5 linked regions of the Oryctolagus cuniculus genome follow. The protein of the gene in region 2 purifies or fractionates together with the protein of the main gene of each other region. This does not show direct contact. Links are inferred from orthologs where the notes say so. Each region holds a gene or a part of one and is shown on either strand. Other genes may lie near its edges.

Evidence for each region.
Region 1: the proteins of EXOC6B (region 2) and EXOC7 purify together in Homo sapiens (affinity purification with mass spectrometry; 3 studies listed by BioGRID and IntAct, with this or other methods). This does not show direct contact. The link is inferred for Oryctolagus cuniculus from reciprocal best matches to the Homo sapiens genes EXOC6B and EXOC7.
Region 3: the proteins of EXOC6B (region 2) and EXOC8 purify together in Homo sapiens (affinity purification with mass spectrometry; 3 studies listed by BioGRID and IntAct, counting the BioPlex papers as one, with this or other methods). This does not show direct contact. The link is inferred for Oryctolagus cuniculus from reciprocal best matches to the Homo sapiens genes EXOC6B and EXOC8.
Region 4: the proteins of EXOC6B (region 2) and EXOC3 purify together in Homo sapiens (affinity purification with mass spectrometry; 3 studies listed by BioGRID and IntAct, counting the BioPlex papers as one, with this or other methods). This does not show direct contact. The link is inferred for Oryctolagus cuniculus from reciprocal best matches to the Homo sapiens genes EXOC6B and EXOC3.
Region 5: the proteins of EXOC6B (region 2) and EXOC1 purify together in Homo sapiens (affinity purification with mass spectrometry; 3 studies listed by BioGRID and IntAct, counting the BioPlex papers as one, with this or other methods). This does not show direct contact. The link is inferred for Oryctolagus cuniculus from reciprocal best matches to the Homo sapiens genes EXOC6B and EXOC1.

Annotation. Positions count from the first base shown.
Region 1 is NC_091448.1:4,590,743-4,595,661, reverse strand, and holds the start of EXOC7 (exocyst complex component 7), read right to left. Parts: upstream 3,335-4,919; 5' UTR 3,247-3,334; coding exon 3,187-3,246; intron 3,037-3,186; coding exon 2,971-3,036; intron 2,538-2,970; exon of another isoform or gene 2,519-2,537; intron 1,332-2,518; coding exon 1,147-1,331; intron 1,017-1,146; coding exon 911-1,016; intron 77-910; coding exon 1-76. UniProt on the Homo sapiens protein: Component of the exocyst complex involved in the docking of exocytic vesicles with fusion sites on the plasma membrane.
Region 2 is NC_091433.1:130,043,618-130,048,582, reverse strand, and holds the start of EXOC6B (exocyst complex component 6B), read right to left. Parts: upstream 3,381-4,965; 5' UTR 3,233-3,380; coding exon 3,120-3,232; intron 1-3,119. UniProt on the Homo sapiens protein: Component of the exocyst complex involved in the docking of exocytic vesicles with fusion sites on the plasma membrane.
Region 3 is NC_091444.1:50,852,337-50,857,229, forward strand, and holds the start of EXOC8 (exocyst complex component 8), read right to left. Parts: upstream 3,335-4,893; 5' UTR 3,191-3,334; coding exon 1,010-3,190; 3' UTR 1-1,009. Other genes in the region: DNA-dependent metalloprotease SPRTN, read left to right, coding at 3,811-4,031. UniProt on the Homo sapiens protein: Component of the exocyst complex involved in the docking of exocytic vesicles with fusion sites on the plasma membrane.
Region 4 is NC_091445.1:97,416,746-97,421,694, reverse strand, and holds the start of EXOC3 (exocyst complex component 3), read left to right. Parts: upstream 1-1,615; 5' UTR 1,616-1,749; intron 1,750-4,510; 5' UTR 4,511-4,559; coding exon 4,560-4,703; intron 4,704-4,949. UniProt on the Homo sapiens protein: Component of the exocyst complex involved in the docking of exocytic vesicles with fusion sites on the plasma membrane.
Region 5 is NC_091439.1:108,640,948-108,645,919, forward strand, and holds the start of EXOC1 (exocyst complex component 1), read right to left. Parts: upstream 3,335-4,972; 5' UTR 3,195-3,334; intron 3,045-3,194; exon of another isoform or gene 3,010-3,044; intron 1-3,009.

The DNA.
Region 1 (4,919 bases), on a different chromosome or scaffold from region 2:
CGACCTTGCTGTGCCGGGTCATCAGGCTGCGGAACTCGGACTCCAGAGACTCCTTCCCCCGCTCAAAGAGCAGCTTCTGCGGGCACAGGAGGCGGCGGCCGTGGGCTGTGGCCGTGGGCTGTGGCCGTGGGCGGTGGCCGTGGGCTGTGGCCGTGGGCGGCGGCCGTGGGCTGTGGCCGTGGGCGGCGGCCGTGGGCGGCGGCCGTGGGCGGCGGCCGTGGGCGGCGGCCGTGGGCTGTGGCCGTGGGCGGTGGCCGTGGGCTGTGGCCGTGGGCGGTGGCCGTGGGCGGCGGCCGTGGGCTGTGGCCGTGGGCTGTGGCCGTGGGCAGCTGCGTGGCCAGTGCTGGTTTGTGAGCCCTGGCTGCTCTACTTCCAACCCAGCTCCTTGCTAAGGCGCCTGGGAGAGCAGCAGGTGACAGCGGAGTGTTGGGGTCCCTGCCACCCACGTGGGAGACCCACACGGAATCCGGGCTCCTGTTTCAGTCTGGTCCAGCCCCGGCTGCCGTAGGCATGAGGGGAGGAAACGGGTGGACGGGAGATTTCTCCCTCTCTCTGTCGTCCCCTGCATCGTCATCTCCCATCGCAGGGTGAGCATAAGCAGGAGGCCGGGGCTCCACGCCCCGAGCGTGCACTTAGAAAGGTTACGATGGCAAACCTTGTATGATGCATGTTTACCACGATAAGCCGCAAATCAGCTCTAGAAACCAAATGCTGCATTTACACCTTCTATGCGGTTTACACGTACACCTACGCCATCTGAAGCAGAGGTCTTGCCTTCGACGCATGCGTATCAGGTTGCAGTCCGCCCTGTGTTCTCCACAGCCCTCTCCATGCTGACCCAGCGTGCCCCGGGCGATGGGGACCGGGCTGCGCGTCCCCTCACCTCTCCCACGGCCCCTCGGCCCCTTACCACTTTGTTGAGCTCCGGGCTGTCTGGGCTGTTGTCCTGGAAGTACTCCACAGCCTTCTGGATCTTGGCCATGCTCCCCAGGTACTCCTCCAGCCTCCCTGTGGGGCTGCGGCGGAAAGGACCCGGCTCAGCGGGAGGGGGAGGGGGAGCACGCGGTGCGGGGCTGCACGGTCAGGCATTCCACGGCCCCTTCCGCGGCCCAGGGCACTGGGCCAGGACCCGAGGGCCGGGCTCACCCCTCCCTGATGATCCTCTCGGTGTCGCTGGCCACGTGGTAGTAGCTGATGACGTGGTCCAGGCAGGACAGCGTCTTCTCCACGTTCTCCTGCAGCCGCTGCAGGTTCTCCGTCTGCTTGTGCACGGGGATGATGGAGTTCTCCAGCCTCATGAGACGGCTCTCGAAGGACGACAGGATGGACACCTGCGGGGAGGCCCCGGCGTTCAGCGCCCTCAGCACCGCGGTCTCTGCGCTTCCACACGGGAAGCTCCACGCGGGAAGGGACAGGATGGACCCGTCCCCCGCTGCATCCCTCATGTGCCTGACACAGAGCAGGTGGTCCAAAACGTGCCAGCTGAAATTTGGGGGCTGGCACTCTGGGCTAAGCCTCCTCCTGTGGCACTGGCATCCCATATGGGCGCCAGTTTGTCTCCTGGCTGTTCCTCTGCTACGGCCTGGGAAAGCAGTGAAGACGGCCCAAGTGCGTGGGCCCCTGCATGGCAGACCCAGAAGCAGCTCCCGGCTCCCGGCTTCACATGGGTGCAGCTCCGGCTGTCGCGGCCATCTGGGGAGTGAACCAGTGGATGGAAGACCTCTCTCACAGACCTCCCCCATCTCCCTGTAGGAGGCGCAGGAGAAACCCAAAAAGAGGAAAAAGCAAAAGCCCCAGGAGGCTCCTCAGGAGAACAGGATAGAGCAGCCGCCTGCCTCTTCCTCCAAACCTAAGAAAAGGAAATCTTTTCCCAAGGAGGAGCTGGTCTGTCTCTCCCTCTCTCTGTCTGTACGCTACCTCTCAAACAAACAAATCTTTAAAAAGAAAAAAGGAAAAAAGGTCGGCGCCGCGGCTCACTAGGCTAATCCTCCGCCTGCGGCACTGGCACACCGGGTTCTAGTCCCTGTCGGGGCGCAGGATTCTGTCCTGGTTGCTCCTCTTCCAGGCCAGCTCTCTGCTGTGGCCAGGGAGTGCAGTGGAGGATGGCCCAAGTGCTTGGGCCCTGCACCCCATGGGAGACCAGGAGAAGCACCTGGCTCCTGGCTTCAGATCAGCGCGGTGTGCCAGCCGTGGTAGCCATTTGGAGGGTGAACCAACGGGAGGAAGACCTTTCTCTCTGTCTCTCTCTCTCACTGTCTAACTCTGCCTGTCAAAAAGAAAAAAAAAAAAAAGATTTGAAGGCAAAATAAGCATCAAATTAATTCTTCCTAGAGTAATCACCCCAGACTTCTACCCTGAGAAGCCAAGTCTCGATTTCTGTTCTCAGCGAAGCCTTCTCAGGCGGAAGGTAAAGCCGCTTCACACAGAGCAGCCTCAACGGCACTGCCGGTGCCCCCGAAACCCTCTCCCACCATCAGCACTGAGACTTCACTACAGGGTGACAAATAAAAGTCCAAACCCATCATTCACTCAATTCGCGCTCGTCCAGTCTCCGCTAGGAATGCAGACTCATTTACTGAGCGCCTGCTGTATACCAGGCCGTGGGTTCACAGCAATAGCTCTCACGGCCTCCAGACTGGGAGGTTGACCTTGACGCTGCGGCTCCGAGGCACCTGTCGGGAGCCACAGAAGGGGGACTGGGGGCACGGACCAGATCTCGGCTCTGAATTCAGAGCTCCTCCTACCCCAGAGCCCCTGGGACCGCCCATCGCCGAAAGGACCTGCACTGGACGGTACCCGGACCACTACATGGACAGACGGAGCGCGGCAGGGCCGCAGCGTCCCCAGCCAGGGGCCGGAACACGGGGAGGGCGCACGGTGGCAGCTGTCCACTGTGGCTGGGGAGCCCCGCCTCGCCCCCGGCGCCCCCGGCCCTGGGCTCTCCCCCGGGGCCCGCGAGCCCCTCCTCACCATGTTCTTGGTGAGCTGGTCGCTCTTCTCCAGGCTGTCTCGGATGAAAGACAGCGTCTCCTCCTCCTGCGGGGAGCGGAGAGCGGGCCATTAGCAGAAGCAGAGGGCTGACCCAGCCCACCGCTTCCCGGCCCCCCGGCCAAGCCCCCAGCCCCTCTCCCACCACTGCCCCGGCCCGGCTCCCGGCCCCTGCCCCTCACCGCGTGCCCAGCCCACCTGCTTCAGCTTGTCTTCGATCTCCCGCCGCCGGGCGGACGCCTCTTGCGGGGGAATCATCGCTCCAAACCGTGCGGCCTCCACTCCTCAGCGTCTTCCCGCAGCGGGCCCGCTCGGCTCCCGTCCCTGTCACACCCACTTCCGCCCTTAGCCCCGCCCCGGGCGCGTGTGGAGCCATGTTGGGAGTGGCAGGCAGAAATGCGCCTGCGCAGAGCTCAGGCATAGGCATGGGTGGGCGGCCATTTTAAGTGTGGCAGGAGAGGAAGGCAGACCCGGAGCGCCCTGTTTTCTGTCGGTGCTGACTCGCGCTTTGGGTGCAGGCGCCAAAGTTCTCCTTCCCCTTCCTTTGCCTGCCCACCCTGCCTGCGGCCCCATTCCCTGGGGAAGCACATGGCGGTACTGCTTCCTGCTTTGTTAGTCGCCCTGGGTCCAGGTGTCCGGGCACGGGCAGGCATAGAATGCGGCAGGTGCTGTGGGGTAGCAAGGTTTGGGGCTGTCAGGTGGTTGGGCACAAGTGACGGGGGTGGGGAGGGTTGGAGGCACAAAACCGTCATCCGAGGGTCACCCGGCTTTCAGTTTAACTTGTGTTTAAAGTACTCTGATACAGTGGCGTCCAGGCAAACCATTTACAAACCTAAGTCTAGTTTGTAGCCACATGCCCAGACAGCCCAAAGGGCTGCAGCTCCCAGGTGTCAATCACAAATGCCAATCATGGTCAGAGCCGCACTAGTCAACGCCCCTCAGTCTTTAGGGATAAAAGCCCCAAGCCAGGAGGAAGGGTTGCCAAGTGCTCTCTGGACTGGCGGAAGGTACCTCGTGGAACCTCCACCTGGGTCTCCCCCGTGGGCGCAGGGGCCCACGCACTTGGGCCCCATCCGGCTTTCCCGGGCGCCTTAGCAGGGAGCTGGATCTGCAGGGGAGCAGCCGGGACTGGAACCCGCGTCCCTACAGGAAGCCGGTGTCACAGGCGATGAGCAGGCAGCTGGGCCCGCTGTGCCACGGCTGGGATAGGAAGCTGATGTCGCAATGCACAGAGCAAGGCGCTGGGCAGCCATGGGCCTGATTCCTGGGCCACTGAGGAGGAGGGGCGAAGGGTCTCGCGGAGGAAGCTGGAACGAGATGGGTGTGCAGTGCCTGTGTGGGCTCCTGGTTGGGTGGTGGTAGCCCGCCTTCCCCTGGTTAGCCAGGCTGCGGTGTTCTCTGTGTAATGTTATGGTGGCCCCGCGGGCTTCAGTCTGGGGGCTACAGGCAGGTGTGGTTACTTTCTAGCCGGACCTGGCGTTCCCTGAAGAGAAGCCCCTCCAGTCAATGCCCACCACCACGCCGGCAATGACCTCTTGCACCCAGTGATTGGAGCCTGGTGGGCCGGCTCTCCCTCGCTCTTCGGGCATGGTTCACCTGCTAGCAAAAGGCAGGGGGGCCGGCGCTGCGGCTCACTAGGCTAATCCTCCACTTTGCGGCGCCAGCACACCGGGTTCTAGTCCCGGTCGGGGCGCCGGATTCTGTCCCGGTTGCCCCTCTTCCAGGCCAGCTCTCTGCTGTGGCCAGGGAGTGCAGTGGAGGATGGCCCAAGTGCTTGGGCCCTGCACCCCATGGGAGACCAGGAAAAGCACCTGGCTCCTGCCATTGGATCAGCGCGGTGCGCCGGCCGCGGCAGCCACTGGAGGGTGAACCAATGGCAAAGGAAGACCTTTCTCTCTGTCTCTCTCTCTCTCACTGTCCACTCTGCCTGT
Region 2 (4,965 bases):
TATGAATGTGAGCAGGGACAAGCTGGACTAAAGACAAGATGGCAGGTGCTACTTGGATTAGAGGATGTTCAAGTGCTCGAGCCATGGGTCTCAGAGCAGGATTTAGGGTTAACTGCCAAAGAAAAGACAAGAGCAAAAATGAAAAGACCTCAACAATAAGATAGAGAGTCAAGGCCGGAGCCACAGCTCACTAGGCTAATCCTCCCTCTGCGGCGCCAGCACCACTGGTTCTAGTCCTGGTTGAGGTGCCGGATTCTGTCCCAGTCTCTTCCAGTCCAGCTCTCTGCTGTGGCCTGGGAGGGCAGTGGAGGATGGCCCAAGTGCTTGGGCCCTGCACCTGTGTGGGAGAACAGGAGGAAGCACCTGGCTCCTGGCTTTGGATCGGTGCAGCGCGCTGGCCGTAGTGGCCATTTGGGGGGTGTTTTTCTCTGTTTTTCTCTGTCTCTCTCTCTCTCACTGTCTAACTTTGCCTGTCCAAAAAAAAAAAAGAGAGAGAGTCAAGAAAAGCAACTAAACTGTAGAATAATGCAAGTTCTCAAACTTTTTTATTCAATATTCCCTTAGGGCAAAACATCCCTTAATCCATCTAACTCCTCAAAACCCCATTTTCCAGTGAAAAGGAACTCAGGGTTAACAAAGAAGCAAATTTTAGAGGAAACGGGTAACTTACATTTGACCCATAATGCATATATTCTGAAAGCAAAGAAACTGGAGAACTAAAGGCCAAAATTCAGAAGTATTTACTTTTCAGTTGAGAGTTAATATAATAAGTCGCAACAAATTAAATTGATAACACTAAATCATTTATCACACAAATCAAGAACAGCAATTGAAAACCACAAGCAACTCAAAACAACATTGATGGTGCTCTGATAAAGAACCCTTCCTAAAACCTCTAGTAATCTCAACAGCTCCAGTGGGAATATGGCCAGGATGCCAACTGCAGCTAGCAGCCAAATTCATTTTTTCTTTTAAGATTTATTTATTTTATTTGGTTTGAAATGCAGAGAGAGACAGACAGAGATCTCCCATCCACTGGTTCACACCCCAAGTGGCCAAACGGCCCGAAGCCAGGAGCCTGGAACACAATCAGGTCTCCTATGTGGATGGCAGGGACCCAAAACTTGAGCCATCACCTGCTGCCTCCCAAGATGTGCAACAGGAAGCTAGAATCAGGAGCAGAGTCAGGACTCAAACTTAGGTACCATGACTTAGCGTGCAGGTATCCCAAGTACTTCCCAAGTATGTCTTAACCACTGCACCAAATGCCCACCCCAAAATTTTTTAATATAACACAGAAGAGCCAGCACTGTGGTGCAGTGGCTGCTCTGCTTCCAAACCAGCTCCTTGTTAACGCATCTGGTACAGTGGTGGCAGATGGCCCAAGTGCTTGGGCCCCTGCCACCCAAGTGGAAGTCCCAGAAGGAGTTCCAAGCCTCTGTTGCAGCCATTTGGGGAGTGAACCCCAGGGGATGAAAGACCTCTTTATATCTCTTTCTTTCTATCTGTCAAATAAATACATATTTAAAATATACATACATGTAATATTGAAATAGCATCCTCAGTAGCTCTAGTAACATTTTATGAAAACCAAATATTAATAACCATTAATAATGCACTTAGTAGAATATTAGTAAGTAGCCCTCAGCTTTTATAAAAGTGGACTTGAAATCAGAATCAGTGACCCTAAGAGCTTAAGAAATGGGATAGGACAGGAGCATGACGATCCAAATCATAACACAATGGGAACAGGGACAGAGAGAAGAGGCAACTCTAAAAGGAACAAAAGGCAAACTACTGAGGGCAGTTATGTCTGGGGATGGCCCTGGGAGAACAGAGCTAACAATATGCCCTGGAGAAGGAAGCCGGGCAGGTGGAGATAGAGTGAAGCCTCCAGCCTGCCTTCCCTTCAGTCACTCCCTCCGGAGGCAGCTCTGCCCATGAGAAAGCAGGCAGTGAGTAAGGACTCTAGACTGAGGAGCAGTGACTCAAGACTCTACCAGGAGGGTAAGATAATTCTGTCTACTGGCTGCAAGGAGATCAGAGTGTGCCACAGGGAAAGATGAGTTAATTCTAGGGCACCAGTAAACTAAAGGGAGAAAGAAAGTAGTTCAAAATTAGGCTTGGTAAGCAATTACCAACAGGAAGTAGGCGAGTAATCCCTATTTGAGACAGAATAGCGCAATGACAGAGTCTGGTGCAGACCGTCTGAGTAGGAACCCCCGGAACCCCACTTTACTTTCTCTGTGACCTTGGGCAAGTCACTTCACCTCTCGGAGCCTCATTTGTAAAATGAAAATAATAACAGCACCTGCCTAATAAGATTGTTTTGTGGTTTCAGGAAGTCATAATGTGTAAATCACTTAATACAATGTGTCACGATGTGCGTAACAAGTGCTACCCAAATTTGCTTAAATAAGTGAGGGGTTTGTTGTGACATCTCCAAGTAAAATGGAGGTGTGCGTGCAGAGCATTGTAACTGCGGGGCGGGGCAGGTTTTCCTTCTTCGAGAACACCGCCCGGCTGCACCTGGAGGAGGGACCGGCCTCCCACCCGGGTTAAAGGCGCATCAGCTCTCCAGCGAGCGGCGCGGGGTCGAGGGAAACTTCCTTGCAGGGCCTAGGATTTTCGGACACTGGTTTCTCGGACGCAGCTGTGATTCTGAGGCAGCAGCTTAATTCCAAACAACACACCATGCAGGGAAACTGTTTTGTCTGAAGAGCAGACTTGTGTCTGGGGCGGGACGAGGTCTGAGTCGGAGGGAGCCGGGTGATGTTCCCATGGGGGAAGAGCTGCTAGGAGCCACCATCTGCCGGGCGCTCTCTCGTTCCCCGGCGCTGGGCTAGCCTCGGAGGGAGCGCGAAGCCTGCCCCGGCCGCGAGGCAGGCAAGAGGCGCCTCCGGAGTCGCGGGACTGTGGGGCGCGGACGACCGATCGGGAAGGGACCCCACGTCGGGGCTGCGGAGGGAGCCCCGCCTCGCCAGCCTACAGGTCACTAGCGGGTGTCTCCAATGGGAGGGGCTGCGCTGGCCCAGCGGGCGGCCGGCACCGGACCCAAAGGAGCCTGCCCCCCTGTTCCGCCCGTGCCCACCCGTCGGTGGCCCCGGTACCGGGGGTACCTGAGCGTGGGCCCGATGCAGGCCGTGTCGGTGCTCTCGATCTCCCGCAGGATCCGCTCGTGCTCTGCCGCTGTCTCCAGGCTCTCCGCCTCCGCCATCTTACCCCGCTCCATAGACTGGGGGCGCCGGGCAACGCGTCCGCTCCTTCAGTCGGGCTCACCTTTCGCTCCTTCACTCCCTCACCCCAGGATCCCAGCCGCCCCAGCCTCCAGCTGCCCGCAGGACGACCCCTCCCTCAGGCTCACCACGCCCCCTTGCATCACCGCGTCCGCCGACGTTCCGCGCAGTGTCTGCTGGGATTTGAAGTTCTCCAAGCGACTATAGGCGGGGATCTGTTCATTTACTCACTGAATCCACAAATGTGTTGAAAGCCCAACATAAGTCAGGAACAGTCAATGACACTGCGTATACAATGACAATGAAGTCCGTGAATGTCACTAACCCTACAAATTCTTGTTGAACATCTTTGTCACAAAGTACAAAGCATGAACAGCGGGAAAGTACTAATAAGCTGTGTGCTGATGGCGATCTCACAATCAAGACGGGTATCAAAACTGTGATACAAGGCAGCCTGTGGCTGCAAGCCAGCTCAGAAGCACCAGGATCACTTCTGCTTGTGAAGGTTTGTAAGCTAAGAACCTGGAAAGTGTGGCAGCTAGGATGTCATGTGCGCTGAGGTATTAAGAAGTAGTAGTAGGGGCCCACGCTGTGGCGCAGCTCGTTATAGTCCTGATCTGCAGTGCCGGAGTCCCATATGGGCACGGTGGGAGTCCGGGCTGCTCCACTTCGATCCAGATCCCTGCTAAAGCGCCTGGGAAGGCAGCCCAAGATGGCCCAAGTGCTTGTGTCCCTGCCACCTACATGGGAGACACAGATGGAATCTGGCCTGGCTCAGGTCTAGCCATTACAGCCGTTTGGGGAGTGGGCCAGCAGATGGACGATCTATCTATCTATCCATCTATCCACCTATCTATCCCCCTCTTCTCTCTCGGTAACACTGCCTTTCAAAGAAATAAAATAAATTTTAAGGGGGGGGGGGGGAGCTGGGCCAGCACTGTGGCACAGCACATTAAGCAACAGTCTGCAGCGCCAGCATCCAATATAGGCACCGGTTCCAATCCGGCTGCTCCACTTCACATCCAGCTCCCTGCTAATGCGCCTGTGAAAGCAGCTGAGGATGGCCCAAGTGTTTGAGCCCCTGCACCCACGTGGAGAGCCTGATCAAGCTCCTGGCTCCTAGCTTTGGCCTGGCCCAGCCCCAACTGTTGCAGCCATTTGGGGTGTGAACCAGTGGATGGAAGATCTCTCTGTCTCTCCTCTCTCTAACTCTGCCTTTCAAATAAAAATAAATAAATCTTTAAAAAAAGCATATCACAAGAACCAAATTGGAAGTTGAGACTAAATAATTTGTGCTACAGCAATAGTATGGATTATTATGCAATCATTAAAAACAAAGACAAAATACTTTATATTTGGATATAAAACTGTCTCCAAATTTTATTGTTGAGTGGAAAAAAAGCAAGGCATGAAACAATACAGAGACTATGTTCCCATTTCCTTTTGTAAAGGAAGGAATATTCACATGCAAATTTACATGTACATAAAATATTACATAGATAGAATTACTTCTGAAAGAATATTTTAAAAACTTAATACTGGCATCAGCCAGAAGTTTTGTAAAGAAAGGGCCTGAAGTAGAAGGAAGGTAGTTTGTAATCATGTATTGTTTGCCCTTTGGGAATTATTTCCCTTTTTTGTATGGATTTTTCTATTAAAAAAAAAAATAAACACTAATTGTTGCAGCAAGCATTCAGCACAGTTATGACACTGCTTGGATTCAAATTCC
Region 3 (4,893 bases), on a different chromosome or scaffold from region 2:
TACAAAACCAAAAACAAATCTCTGCTCAAAGTTGTCATACTCAGTGAAACCACTGAGATTTGCTTATGATTTTTTTTCTACTTTCCCAGCTACTCAGTCCCTAAAATCTAAATAGTTCAGTGAAAAATTTTTTGCATTTGCTTGATGACAGCCCCTAATAACCTACATTGAAAAGGGAGCTAAAATCACTGGCTGCAGTCAGGATTGTCAAGTTTCCTGTTTTATTATTATTATTATTAAATATAAATATAACAGACAAAAGCTCCAGCTGGAAATTCACACAATTCAGAAACGTGTTGAAAAAAATCACAATCTTTAAGATTTCCAAGTAAACGTTCCCAACTCCAGTAGGAAAACTATGGAGCGGCTAATTAACAAGTGAAAATAATTAGCCATTCAAATTCTGTTGGAAATGTTTGAATCTGTATAAAAGCTTCCTCCTATATAGGGACTGGAGTATCTGAGGCCCCAAGCTAGCTAGCTAGATCATGGAGAAAGAATTCTTTTGACTAGAGTTTACTCCGAAACCAACTTTCCCAACTCCTTTCTTTTCCCCAAAAAGTGTCCAATCACACTTCAAGAAGGGGAAGTACTGAGGCAGCGTGTTTTACATGGTACTGCACCCTTTAAGAAACGTAACCAGGAAACTTTTCACACACACGTAAACTGATGTATTTGTAGACATATTTATCTGTGTTGAATAAGATACACTGTGAGAAAGTGTATTTTGGTTCAAAGGAGAAGCTGAAATAACTGTAGTGCTATCATAAACCCATTAGAGAACTAGCATAATTTAAAAGGTCAGTATATGTTTTAACAACTTTGATATTTTTTGTTATTTGGGCTTAATTTTACATTCTTTTCCTTTCTTCTTTTGGTTTTGCATCTCTGAGGGCACTTTTTACTTGTAAGCTGTGTTTGAGACTATACAGAATATGCTAATACAACAATATAAATATAAATAACCTATAAGCACTATCATCTGTACACATATGGACAGACTCCAGCCTCAGACGACTGATGTCGTACTTTCAGGATTCACCCGCATGAGTCTTGATGCGTTCCTCAGGTCTTGGAGTTGCTTGGCAGGTTTCCCCACACCTTCTTCAAACCTTTTTTCCACCACCGGGAGCACCGTTTCATATAGGAAGGACGCATTCTGTCGGATAAAAGCCTTCTTCTCTGGATCCTGCTCGCACCGAAGGCTATAATCCACATGCTGGACGGCAACCAGAATGATTTCCACCAGGCTCTCCAACAGTACCATGTGCAACTCTGGGAAATACAGCTTTAAGGCCTCTTCCAAAAACGCCATGGTCTGTTTGGTGAAAGCGACCACTGTGTAACTTAGGTTCACCCAGCAGTCATCCCCGGTATACTGCTCAAAGTTACTCACCCCGCAACTTCTCATCTCTTCTTTGAGCTTGCCCAGGGCCTCTGGAGTCATCAAGTTCATCCTCCTCCACATCTCCTCCGAGTTGCGATGTTTGGTGGCTTCAATGATGATTTCTTTGTAACTGTGCAAGGCCCCCTGGATGTCTTTCACCAGAAGGGCGTGGATGATGAAGGTGAGGTCTAGTCCAATATCTCCCAGCTGCTGGCAGTGCTCCTTAGCCACCTTGACGCACTCTGCTGCCGTGGACAGGCTCTCCTTGCTATCAAACACCTGCTTGCTGAAAGCATCTACAAACATGCCCATGGCTGATCTCGCCCAGACCACAAAGGCAGAGTAGCAGCCACTGTCGGTGCCGGCGAAATCTGTCTCAAATTCTCTGGCAGTCTCGAGAAGACACGTAAAGAAGACATGGCACAGCTTATGAATATAGAGTAAAGTGGCACCTTCAATGCGAAGCTGACGGATGGCCGTGTGCACAGCTGCCGCTCTGTTTCTCAAAAACAGCTCGCAAGCCTTTGTGCACTGGCCAAGCCGGATTAGCTGAGAAACCGCCCTGCGAGTAGCCTTGGGCCCACCTCGCAAGGAACGACCTGGGGACAGTTCAAAAACCAGCACCTCCGTGAGCTGCCGGACACGCTCATCCACCTTGGCCCTGAGTTCTTTTACAGGAGGTGGGCTGGGCTTGTCTTCTAGGTAATGATTCAATTTATCTAGCAGGTCAACGGCCCCCTCAAAGTCCCTCTGAGCAATGCACACATCCAGGTCTTCAGGTAACTCCTGGATCCACTCCATCGATAGGTCCACCTTCTCTTCCTCCACCTCGGGGACAGCTGGCTCTTCGTCTTCATCATCCTCAAACGGGTTCGTGGCCTTGGAGGTCACTTGGGGAGGCCCTCTAGAGGCCGCTGCTTCCTCCTGTTCCCTTCGTCTTTTTTCACTGAGGGCCCTCTTGGTTTCTTCCAGCACCTCCAGCCACTCTCGTTTTATTTTGGCATTTTCTGCCTGAAAAATGCGACTCTCGGGGAACATCAGCAGCTTGAACATGTCCTTCATGGGTGGGTTGTCCTTGACATTGACCACGGCCAGGCCATCTAGGGGATAGAGAGCATTGTAGCGATACATCCCCCGCCGCTGGGGCAGCCAGGTGGCCACCAGCAAACAGTCGTTCATGAGAAAGCCGTGCACCCGCTGCAGCTGGGCCATGTGATCCGCTTCGTATTCCACCAGGTCCCCGTTGTACACCAGGTACTGCCCCGGGGTCTCCAGCAGGTGCCTGCAGCCTTCCACCTTTTCAAGCAGGGTGGTGAGAGTGCGCTGCTTTCCTTCCTCGCCCGGGCCGGAACTGTCGCGCGAGGCGCCCCCGGGGCTGGGAAAAAAGCCGGCCTGGCCTCGGAGGTGGTCTCGGCCCCCAGCGCCACCTGCCCCCTCCTCCCCGCCCGAGGCAGCGCCGGCCCCCGCGGCGGCGGCGGCGGCCGGCAGCAAGGTGAGCGGGATGCTCTCCAGGCTGCTCTTCTGTTCCGTCAGGAGATGGCTGAGCTGGTACATCTCGCTCTCCAGGTAGGAGATCTCGCGGGCCGTCTCTATGAACTGCCGGTAGTTCTGGTAGACGTTGCGTTTCAGGTTTTGCGCTGTCTCCTCCGCCAAAGCCTGGATGCGCTGCCGGTGCTCCTGGAGGTCCCGGTCCCCGTCCGACTGCTGCGAGAGCTGCTTCACGTACAGCCGTGCCTCAAAGCTCCCTGATTCTAGCTGCCGCCGCAGGCGGCTCGCTCCACTGTCCGACATCGCCATCGCCATTTCCGTCTGGGTCTCAGGCAGTCGCTGTCACTGTCGCCACGGCTGTCGAGACCCACCCAACTCCAGCCGAGCTCCAGGGCTTAGGAAGCAAGATGCGAGCAAGACGAGTACGCCTGCGCCCGGGTCTGAGCTGCTCACACTGCGCCTGCGCAAGCGGCTGAGCGCAGACCGTACGACTGCGCAGGATTGCCCGCGAACTAGAGCGCACGCGCAGGAGGAGTTATTGCGGAAGCGGGGAGAGGGCGAGAGGGCGAGGCTTAAGTACTGCGCATGAGCAGAGCGTGACGTTTGGGTTTGAAGTTCCTGGTGAAGCGTAGACGCGTTAACTAGCTTCCTGTAACCGTCCTCGGGCCGAGCCCGGGGTTCTGCTCCAGTTTCGAGGTGTCACGGCTAGTTTCTTGTTTAAGCCCTAGAATCTTGCCGTCGGAGTTCGGAGCAAACTCGGTTCTGGTTCCTGTTCTCAGTTCCGTTTTCCCCGAGTTCTCGCGAGATTGGCAGAGCGACCCCGAGAGCAGCCCGAGAACCGGTATCCTAGGAGCTTGAAGCCTCTGAAACGTTTCTGCGGCCTGAGTCGGGAGTCAGCCTAACGCCAGTGAGCCCCGACTGGGATCCTGGCAGTGATGGATGAGGACCTGGTTTTGGCACTTCAGCTTCAGGAGGAGTGGAACTTGCAGGTTGCGGAGCGCGATGGCGCCCAGGAGCCCCTGTCGCTGGTAGACGCGTCCTGGGAGTTGGTGGACCCCACGCCGGATTTGCAGGCCCTGTTTGTGCAGTTCAACGACCGGTTCTTCTGGGGCCAGCTGGAGGCCGTGGAGGTGAAGTGGAGCTTGCGCATGACCCTGTGAGTCCCGAGCCCCGCGGGGGGAACCGAGGCGGAGGGGGCCGCACTTCTTGCCTGCCAGTCCCAGGGGAGTTAAACCAGAGCGTTTGGCTTTGGACGCTTGATGTGTTTCTCTCTTCTTATCCAGTTCAAACAGCTAAGAAAGCTATGTAGCTCACGCCACTGTAGTTGGAATTAGAAAGAACATAATGAGGGGGAAAAAGACCAAAAGAAGAAGAAGAAAAAAAAAAAGACAACTCGCCCCACTGTAAAGTCACACGTTTCTAACCTTCCTGTGCTAGTGCTCTAGAAAACAAGAGGGACAAGCACTCAGATCTTTCCAGAAAGGCAGCTGAGGACGCAGAAAAACTGCCGAAGGCTGCGTGATGGCCTAGTTAACAAACCACCACTTGGTGTAGTGAGCCAGTGTTTTGGAATGGGGAGGGAGTTGAGGTCTCCATATTTCTCGACTCGGGAGCTCTTTGGTGATGCTTCTAAAAGGATCCCCTCTCTACACATGAAGTTTGAGAGCTGCTGATTTGAGTTGATAAGCTGCACATTATCAGAGTTAAGTTTCAGTTACCACTTTGCCATGCCTCTTTTTCTGACTGAGAAAGACAGAGATTTTCCATTTGCTGGTTGTCTTCCTAAATATCCACAACAGGGGGTGGAGTGAGGTTGGGGGTGGGGACGGGGTAGGCCAGATTGAATGCAAGAGCTAGGAACTCCATCTTGGTCTCCAACACAGGTGACAGAAACTCAAGTAGTGGGGCCATCATCTGCTGTCTCCCAGGGGCATTAGCAGGCAGCTGGTCACTGAAGCAGGGCTGAACCTGCCGTGTCACAGTGCCTGCCCCCCACGGTTGTTTTTGATTTGATACAA
Region 4 (4,949 bases), on a different chromosome or scaffold from region 2:
CCAAGGATGTCCCCTGTGACCATGTGACTCACAGCCTGATGCCATCTGTCCATCCTGAGGGCATCTGACCCCGGGCACCATCCTGTCCATCCTGAGGGCATCTGACCCCAGGCACCACCTGTCCATCCTGAGGGCATCTGACCCCGGGCACCACCTGTCCATCCTGAGGGCATCTGACCCCGGGCACCACCTGTCCACCCTGAGGGCATCTGACCCCGGGCACCATCCTGTCCATCCTGAGGGCATCTGACCCCGGGCACCACCTGTCCATCCTGAGGGCATCTGACCCCGGGCACCACCTGTCCACCCTGAGGGCATCTGACCCCGGGCACCACCTGTCCACCCTGAGGGCATCTGACCCCGGGCACCATCCTGTCCATCCTGAGGGCATCTGACCCCGGGCACCACCTGTCCACCCTGAGGGCATCTGACCCCGGGCACCACCTGTCCATCCTGAGGGCATCTGACCCCGGGCACCATCCTGTCCATCCTGAGGGCATCTGACCCCGGGCACCATCCTGAGGGCATCTGACCCCGGGCACCATCCTGTCCATCCTGAGGGCATCTGACCCCGAGAACCACCTGTCCACCCTGAGGGCATCTGACCCCGGGCACCACCTGTCCATCCTGAGGGCATCTGACCCCGGGCACCATCCTAAGGGCATCTGACCCCGGGCACCATCCTGCGGGTATCTGACCCTGGGTTTCACCTGTCCATCCTGAGGGCAACACCCCTGGGTTTCACCTGTCCATCCTGAGGGCACCACCCCTGGGTGCCACCTGTCCATCCTGAGGGCATCTGACCCCGGGCACCATCCTGTGGGCATCTGACCCCGGGCACCATCTGTCCATCCTGAGGGCACCACCCCTGGGTGCCACCTGTCCATCCTGAGGGCATCTGACACATGGAGTGAAGCCAGCTGGGACTCACTGCACTGTCCCTGACTGTGCCCGCCTCACTGGGTCAGAGCTCAGGGAACGGAAGGCTGTAAACACCTCAGTTGTGTTTCATTCAGTGCCCACACTTGCTTTGCCAGGAAGAAGTGGCAGCGGCAGCATGAAGGGAAACGCTCCCAAGAACGCCCATGCACGCTGCTGCCGTGACCCCCCCAGGGCCCAGCACAGAGGGTGGAGGGCTCCTGTGAGCCCCCTCCCATGTCCGGTATTCTAGGCCGTTATGGCCTTGACACCGAGGTGCCCACAGCAGAACTTCTGTGACACGAAAGCACACGCGCGAACACACATGTCCACACGCATGTGCACACATGTGCACACCCACACAAATACACACATGCACACGCGTTCACACACGTTCACGCACACACACATACATACACGGGCATACGCGCCCACACAAATACACACATGCACACGCGTTCACGCACAGGCGCGCACACACGCGCACGCCCGCACACCCGCACACCCGCACTCGCGCACACACACCGCGATGGGGCGGGCCGGGGGTCGGCGCCTGCGGCTGTGAATCCTGAGGGGTCCGGGCGGGCGGCGTCCGGCGCACGTCAGGGAAGGGGCGGCGGAGCCGGGACAGGCAGGAAGCCCCCAGCCGTCACCGGGCTCCGTGGACAGCGACCCCCGGAGCACCGGACGGTCTTGCCGTCCCGAAGGCCCGCCCACTGGCCAGGCCCCGCCCGCCACCTGCGTCGCCGGAAGCGGAAGTGCCCTTCAGCGTCCACTTCCTGTCGGGCCCGGGAGCGGGCGGCGGCTGCAGCGGCAGCGGCGGCGCGGGCGGTGAGGCGTTGTGGGGTCCGAAGGCTTGCGGTCCGCTGGGTGGTGGCCGCCGACCCTGCCGCCGTTGTCCTTGGGCGTCCGCGGGATGAGCGGCGGCCGGGGCGGGGCCCGAGGGCGGGGCTCCCCGAGGCCGTCTGGGCCGCGGTGCGGTGTCCGCCTCGCTGTGTCCTCTCGGCTCGGGAGTCTCTTCAGCCGGGTGTCACCCCGCGCGGGTCGTCCCCCGGCCCGGCCGTCACCCCCGCGGGTGTCCCCGGGCCGGGTGTTAGCCCCGCGGGTCGTCCACCAGTGCGGGTGTCACCCCCACGGATCGTCCCCAGGCCCGGGTGTCCCCCCCGCGGGTCATCCCCCGGCCTGAGTGTCACCCCCGCGGGTCGTCCCCTGGCCTGGCCGTCACCCCCACGGATCGTCCCCCTGCCTGAGTGTTACCCCCACGGATCGTCCCCCTGCCTGTCACCCCTGCGGGTCGTCCCCCGGCCCGGGTGTCCCCCCCGCGGGTCGTCCCCTGGCCTGGCCGTCACCCCCACGGATCGTCCCCCTGCCTGAGTGTTACCCCCACGGATCGTCCCCCTGCCTGTCACCCCTGCGGGTCGTCCCCCGGCCCGGGTGTCCCCCCCGCGGGTCATACCCCGGCCTGAGTGTCACCCCCGCGGGTCGTCCCCTGGCCTGGCCGTCACCCCCACGGATCGTCCCCCTGCCTGAGTGTCACCCCTGCGGGTCATCCCCCGGCCTGAGTGTCACCCCCGCGGGTCGTCCCCGGGCACGGTGTCACCCCCAGGGCGTCGCCCCCTGGCCCGGGAGTCACCCCCGCGGGTCGCTCCCGAGCACAGGTGTCACCCCGTGGTGTCTGCCCATCTGACTCCTCAGCCCATCGGTGCCTCCCCGATGCCGGTGTGGGAGGGCTGTGGAGGTTCCTCAGGGTCTCTGGGGCCCTAGGAGTTCCCGTCTGGCCTGGGGAGACTGGCGCACCCTGTGCGGTCCCTGGTGAGCCTCCTGCTTTCCCGGTCTGTTCAGAGGCGAGCCCTCCGCTGCCCTGCACCCAGGAAGGGTGCTGAGGGCCAGTGCGGCCGGGCTCAGGGCACGCTGCGAGCGTCTTGGCTGTGGTCATCAAGATGAGGGTCCCGTGTCAGCGGGAACGTGGTCGTGTGCAAAGCCGCACTCTGGGTACTGAAGCAATGCAGGGAGCAGCGGGGGCCACCGAGCCGGCAGGAGAGGGCGCCTGGGGGGGCGGGGGGACGCGGCTGCCTCTGGCGTGTCCATATCTCCCGTGCGTTGTTGTATGTGGTTTGATTTCGTAACCAGGGGAGGAGAAGAGGGTAGTGGTTGCAGTGCCGCCTCTGAAAGAGAAGAGACCCGCACGTTCTCCTGAGAGCCGGGAATGGGAATGAGAAAGCCCGGCAGAGGTGGCCGTGGTGGGGGTAGTGCTGGAGCTGGGGCCGCTGGCGGGGGAGCTGGGTCAGCGCCTGTGCCGCGTCCCCTGCCCTCCCCACCCTCTGTCAGGGCTGTGAAATGCAGGGGATGGAGTTGTGCGTGGTGATTTGCAGGGCGGCCCTGGGTGCGTGCTCGCCCTCTGGGGCAGTTGTGCGCGGCCCTGGGCTGGCGAGAAGGCTCCTGTCAGGGGCGCCGCAGGGCCTCGGGCTGACGTGTGCAGGTTCACGCACAGGGACTGGTGCGCGCGCTTGCTTTCTCGTGCACAGGGGTTTCTTTCTTCCTTTTTCTTTTTTATTAAGATTTATTTATTTATTTGAAAGAGTTACACATTGAGAGGAGAGGCAGAGAGAGAGAGGGGTCTTCCACCGCTGGTTCACTCCTCAACCGGCCACTACAGTCGGAGCTGTGCTAATTTGAAGCCAGGAGCCAGGAGCTTCTTCCGGGTCTCCCACATGGGTGCAGGGGCCCAAGGACTTGGACCATCTTCTACTGCTTTCCCAGGCCATAGCGGAAGCTGGATCAGAAGTGGAGCAGCCGGGACTGGAGCCGGCGCCCATGTGGGATGCCGGCATTGCAGGCAGCAGCTTTATGCGCTACGCCACAGTGCCGGCCCCAACAGGGGTTTCTACATGTAATGTAAAACCATCCCTGAGGGGCCGGCGCTGTGGTGCAGTGGGTTAACACCCTGGCCTAAAGCACCAGCATCCCATATTGGTGCCGGTTCTAGTCCCGGCTGCTCCTCTTCCGATCTAGCTCTCTGCTGTGGCCTGGGAAAGCAGTGGAGGATGGCTCAAGTCCTTGGGCCCGTACATCCATGTGGGAGACCCGGAAGAAGCTCCTGGCTCCTGGCTTCAGATCCAGCCGTTGCAGCCATCTGGGGAGTGAACCATCAGATGGAAGACCTCTCTCTCTCTCTCTCTCTCTCTCTCTCTCTGCCTCTTCTCTCTCTGTGTAGCTCAGACTTTGAAATAAATAAATAAATCTTAAAAAAAAAAATCCCTGAATTTGAGTCAGGGGGTTCATGAGCCTGGTTACGCTTTCTTTCTAGTTTACTTGCGGTCTCAGACACCTCTCATATGGCCCCAGATGGTCAGTCGACTGGGGGTGTTCAGTGCCCTTGTGGTCAGCTGGCTATAGGGGGAGTGCTCAGTGCCCACATGGTCAGCTGGGTAGGGACGTGCTCTGTGCCCACGTGGTCAGCTGGCTGGGGGACATGCTCTGTGCCCACGTGGTCAGCTGGCTGGGGGCGTGCTCAGTGCCCACATGGCCAGCTGGCTGGGGACGTGCTCGGTGCCCGTGTCTCCACCTTCCTAACCCTGTCTCTCTTGTACAGTCAGTGCCCCTGGAATGACAGGCGTGGGGACTGTGCCCTCTCGTGGACCATGAAGGAGACCGACCGCGAGGCTGTGGCAACAGCCGTGCAGCGGGTAGCTGGCATGCTTCAGCGCCCAGACCAGCTGGACAAAGTGCAGCAGTACCGCCGAAGAGAGGCTCGGAAGAAGGCCTCCGTGGAGGCCAGGCTGAAGGTAGGAGGCCGCACCTGCTGCACTCTGGGCGGGACAGTCATTTATTTTGAACTTGGGTTCCTGCCTGACAGTGTCACAGTGAGTTTGCTCAGCTGGACTTTCTGAGGACGAGGACGAGGCAGAGCTGGACTCCTCCCAGTCAGCAGATTCGCAGGAGAAACCAGGTCCTGGTCCTGCTGGGCTGAGTGTGCCAGCAGTCAGGAGGAAGAGCTACACACCTTTTTTTTTTTTTTTTTTTTAAGATTG
Region 5 (4,972 bases), on a different chromosome or scaffold from region 2:
TGTTATACTCTGTTGTTCAGGGGATAATGTTAAAAAAAAAAATAAAAGTCTGTAAACCTTCAGTACAGATGCGCTATTTTTTTCCAAATATTTTTAATCTGTGGATGGTTAGATCAGCAGATGTGGAATCTATGGATTCCAAGAGCCAATTGCATCTGCAATAATCAACACATGGAAACAATTCAAATGTCCATCAGCCAATAAACAGGTGAGTGAAATATGTTGTATTCATACCATGGATGATTTGGCTGTAAAAAGGAATGAAGTGCTGATATATGCTGACATTCATGGATCTTGAAAACATTATGGTAAGTGAAAGAAGCCAAACACAAAAGACTACATAATGCATGACTCCAACCATAGGCAATGTCCAGACTGGGAAAACTGATAGCAAGAGCAGTGACTGTGGGGGCCAGAGGAGAAGGCAGAATGCAGGACTGTCTGTTAATGGGTATGGTGTTGCTTTCCGGGTGATAAGATGTCCTTGAATTAGACAGCAGTGATCGTTCAAAGAGTACAATCTTGTGAATACACTAAAGGACACAGAATTATATATTTGAAAAGGCTGAATTTTATGATATGCAAATTATCTCAATAAAGCTGTAACAAAAGTAGGCTGCCACTTATTTCCCTTTTCTCACATAAATCGGTGTCTTTTTCAAATGTCAATTTAAACTATTTTTTAAAAACGTCTCAATTTCATTTTTCAAGCATAAGGGACATGTTTGTATGGCTATATATCAGTATTTTCCAATGCAAATGTGAGCTTGCCTCGGACATTAATTTCTGCTAGTAACACCATTTTTTATGGGAAAATGAAGAAACTGTGAGTTTTATATATACGATTTATAACGCCTTTTTATAACACGACCCCAGAATGCCATCTTTGCATTTCTGTTCCTCTTTCAGCTCATCTCAGCCTCAGGTCTCCTCACTCTCCCACCCTCCCTCCCATTATTCTTGTCTATCTGGCCCCCAAGCCAGGCTACAGGCAATGTTCATCTCCCAGTACCCACACTATCCTCTTTCTTATTTTACCCTCTTGGTAGACTGGCTATCCTATTTTATCAAGAAACCTTGAAAAACCTACATGTTTTTCCTCTACTTCTCTTGAGCTATAAGATTCTATGTTTCAAAGCCATATACCCACGTGCATTGCATTCGTTTCTAACAGATCCAGCTAAAACTGGACTTTGAAGGCAGCTCAGCAATTCTTTAATACATTTATTGCATCACTACTGTTTACAAATCCTTATTATCGTCTTTCAGCCTGCAACCGTATTGTCAGCCTCCTCCCTCTCTGCATAGGACTTCACTGCCTACTCTGCAGAAAAGAGAAGCCACGAGGTACAATTCTCCCCAATTCTTCCTCTTCCATCTCTCTAACCATTCACCCATCCCACTCAAAACGCAGCATCCATGCTGCCGATCCCTTCGTACATTCCAAGGCCTAGACACTGTTAAAGGGGCTACTCCACTCTCCGCCCCGGTCTACTTTTCTATCTCTGGGCTTCCGTTCACGCAATTTCCTTTTCCTGGAATTCCCTCTCCCCAGAGATTGCAACTCACTCCTTAGGATCCTGCTAGAGTGTCACCTCTTCCGGGAAGCAGTGTTTCCCGAAGCATACTTCCCTTTCTAGGTCTCCAACATCCCCCCACCCTGCACACAGCGCGCTTCGGATCGTCTTTTCTGACTGCTGGTATCAGCCTCTCCCATCAGAAACAGTTTCTGGTTGGCAAGGACCGTTTCTCATTCACCTTTGTATTCCTAGAACTTTTGGCAAAAGGCACCCAGCAGGCATTTAATAACTAACACGAGAGCACCAAATAACCAGCAGCTTTAGCTTCCTCAAGACCCCCCCGCCTTCGTTCAGCAAATGTCGTGTTCAGAACGTCCTGAGTCCTTCCTCCATGGTCAACAAGAAACCTGCTGCCACATTCTGGGGCTTCCCCCCATCTACAGGTACATTCCTTCCTTTATGTCCCCGCCATGCACACAGGAACCCAGGCCCACACCCACTTCTACCTGTTCAACAGCACAGCATCTGGGTATCTCTTTGCAAGCACCCACAACCCTGAATAACAACCATATAACTGGGGGGGGGGGTAGATCTCATCACACCACACCCTTGTTCAGCATTTTCCTAATACAAAGCATCCACTTGGAAGCACTCTGTTCATTTTGGGCTCTAAACCTCTGCTTCGGCACTTCCCCATGCGGGAAACATCATCTCCTCCCTACCCAAACCCTAACACCACCACACGGTTTACATGACGCTCATTCAATGGTGATTTGAATCCGGACTCATCTCGCCGTGCACCTGCTGCACGGACTAAACCACTGAGCATTGGCGGGGATCAGCAGCTCCTGGCTCTCCAACCCTCTTAGAGAGAGACACGCTCAACTAGATGTGAGTACTAAGCAGGTACTTAACACCTCTCGAGGGAACCTGAAGAGGAAAAACCGGTCCAAAGAACCACTCACAGCGGCCAAAGTCACCCTCCCGGCAACAGCTAGGGCTGAGCACCGGGCACATGAGGCGGCTGGACATCACTCGGCACTTACTGATGCCTACCCAGGGCCAGGCTGTTCTGGGCCCCAGCGGCGGCTCCCGTCACGCAGGTGCGCGCTCAGGGGGCCAGTCCTTGGAGCGCTTTTCTGTAAGCCACTCAACAACAGGTCCGCCCTGTCCCGGCCCGGGGACCCGCGGCTGCTACGCTCCAGAGGCAGCCCGCCACTGCCTAACTGCGTGTCGCTCTTGTTTTTTAAACCCGCTGGGACCCTCTCGGCGCGCTGGCCGACAGCCGGTGACCCTAAAGGCGCGTGTGGGTTGGGACGTTTCGGGCACGGAGCACGGTCATCCACAGGAGACCGTGCACGGAAACAGGGGAATGCATTTAACAGACTCGGGGTGGGGGGAGTGGACTTGGCCAGCGGAAGGGCGGTGTCACGCCCTCCTCCGCGGGGCGACGCCGTGGACAGCGCGAGCACCGCCGGTCTGCACAAACCTGGCCGCGAGGGGCGGGGCCGCAGCGGGACGAGCGAGCGCCGCCCTCCCCGCTCCGCAGCCTGCGGGACCCGGGGAGCGGGGCCTGACCGCCGAGTGGGCGGCGGCTGCCCGTCCGCTCTCGGGTCCGGCGCCGCCGCCGCCGCCGCCGCCGGGCCTGCTGGGCAGCCGCGGCCAGAGGCTTACCGCAAGGCCGGACCGAGCCCAGCTGTGCCGCGGCGGGTCCTCCCAGACGGAAGCGGGGTGCGGCCGCTGCGACCACCGCTCCCAGGCTGTGCCCCTCAATTAACCGGTGAACGGGAAGCGGCCGCTCCTCACCGCTTCCCATATCCGGGCACGTGACCCGTTCTGCGCCGGAAGTGGATGTCTAGAGGCGGAAAGAGAAGTGGCGGGATCCAAGGAGCGACCGGGGAACGCCGGCCGGGGGCGGGGCCTCGCCGGAGGGGCTGGGCGGGGCCTCGCCGGAGGGCGGGGCGGGGCGGGGCTTCTGCCCCACGGGGACTGACATCTGCTGCCCTGCGTTTAACAACCCTACACGAGCTGTTTATTCTGATATTCACAACAATTCGCTTAAAAAGCAACCCGACTGGTTTCTTTATATGTAAAACTGTTGACTGTAGACCCTTGCTGCTTACATCTTGGAGATTTAAATGAGTTAAATCATAAACTCGGGGTTGGGATCCAGACACAGTACTTCGCACTTGATCTTTGCCAAAAGGCAATAATACTTTGAATATCTTCCTAGATGTGTCTAATACGCCACTGACGTTAAGAACCATCATGCTTGTGACCTCGATACTCCAAGTGTGGTCCACGGAGCAGCTACCAGGGCATCGTTCGGGGGCTCATTTCAGATCTACTCGAGCAGAATCTGCAGTTGGGATGATGCTTACGACATATAAGACTGAGGGTCAGGGATGATGCTAGTGTTGCTGGCTGGGAATCAGGAAATTGAATTATTCCATTTTTTGATTCATTTATTCTTTTGAAAGAGTTATGGGGACAGAGAGACAGAGACAGAGAGTGAGGTCTTCCAACCGTTGATCAGTCTCCAAATGGCTGCAATGTCCAGCTTGGCCGATCCAAAGCCAGGAGCCAGGAGCTTCATTTGGGTCTCCCTTGGGGGTTCAGGGGCCCAAGGACTTGGGCCATCTTCCACTGCTTTCCCAGGCCATTAGCAGGGAGCTGGATGGGAAGTGGAGCAGCTGGGACTTGAAGCTGCATGCCGGCACCGTAGACGGCAGCTTTACCAGCTACACCACAGCACCGGCCCCTAGTCCATATTCTTGACTCCAGGTGCAGAGGTGGTTTAGACATGAATCCTGTTCTGAAAGAGTTCACAATGTGGCAGGACCAGACAAAGAGGAATGTGAACAAGGGAGTCACTCCCTGTGCTGGGGCTGGAGTCGCCGAGGAAGCCAGGACAGAGATGGGCTAAATGTATTTCAGTATTTGTTTACAATGTACCTGAATGCTTTTCTCTTTGATCAGATTGATTCCCTCTTAAGAGTAGGATCGAGGCCGATCTAAGAAGTCCTTCCTGCTTGGTACAGAACACCATTGTGAACATTCCATAGGATAATTACATGTGATTTTTGGTCCTGTTCATTATCTTCTGTTTACCTGTGTCCCCAAAGTTAGCAAATAACTGAATTTCATAGGTCTAGACTCCCTCCCCAAGTTCCAGACTTATTTCCACTGTCTCGCCACCGTATTTCCACATGGATGTCTCAAAGGCACCTCACACTGACTCACATATGCCCCTGAATTTAATTCTCCTCTCTCTCTCGCCCTCATGGATCCCCCCCTACACACACACACACACAAAGTGAGGCTAATCTGCAGTAGTTTATTTGGGAATTTGACCCCAGAGAATTAAAGTAAGGAAGAAGGAGAGGAAATGAAACAAGAGAAGTGGGAGAGGAAACCCAAGCAAGTGGCATGGCGTTGGATATGGCCCTTTG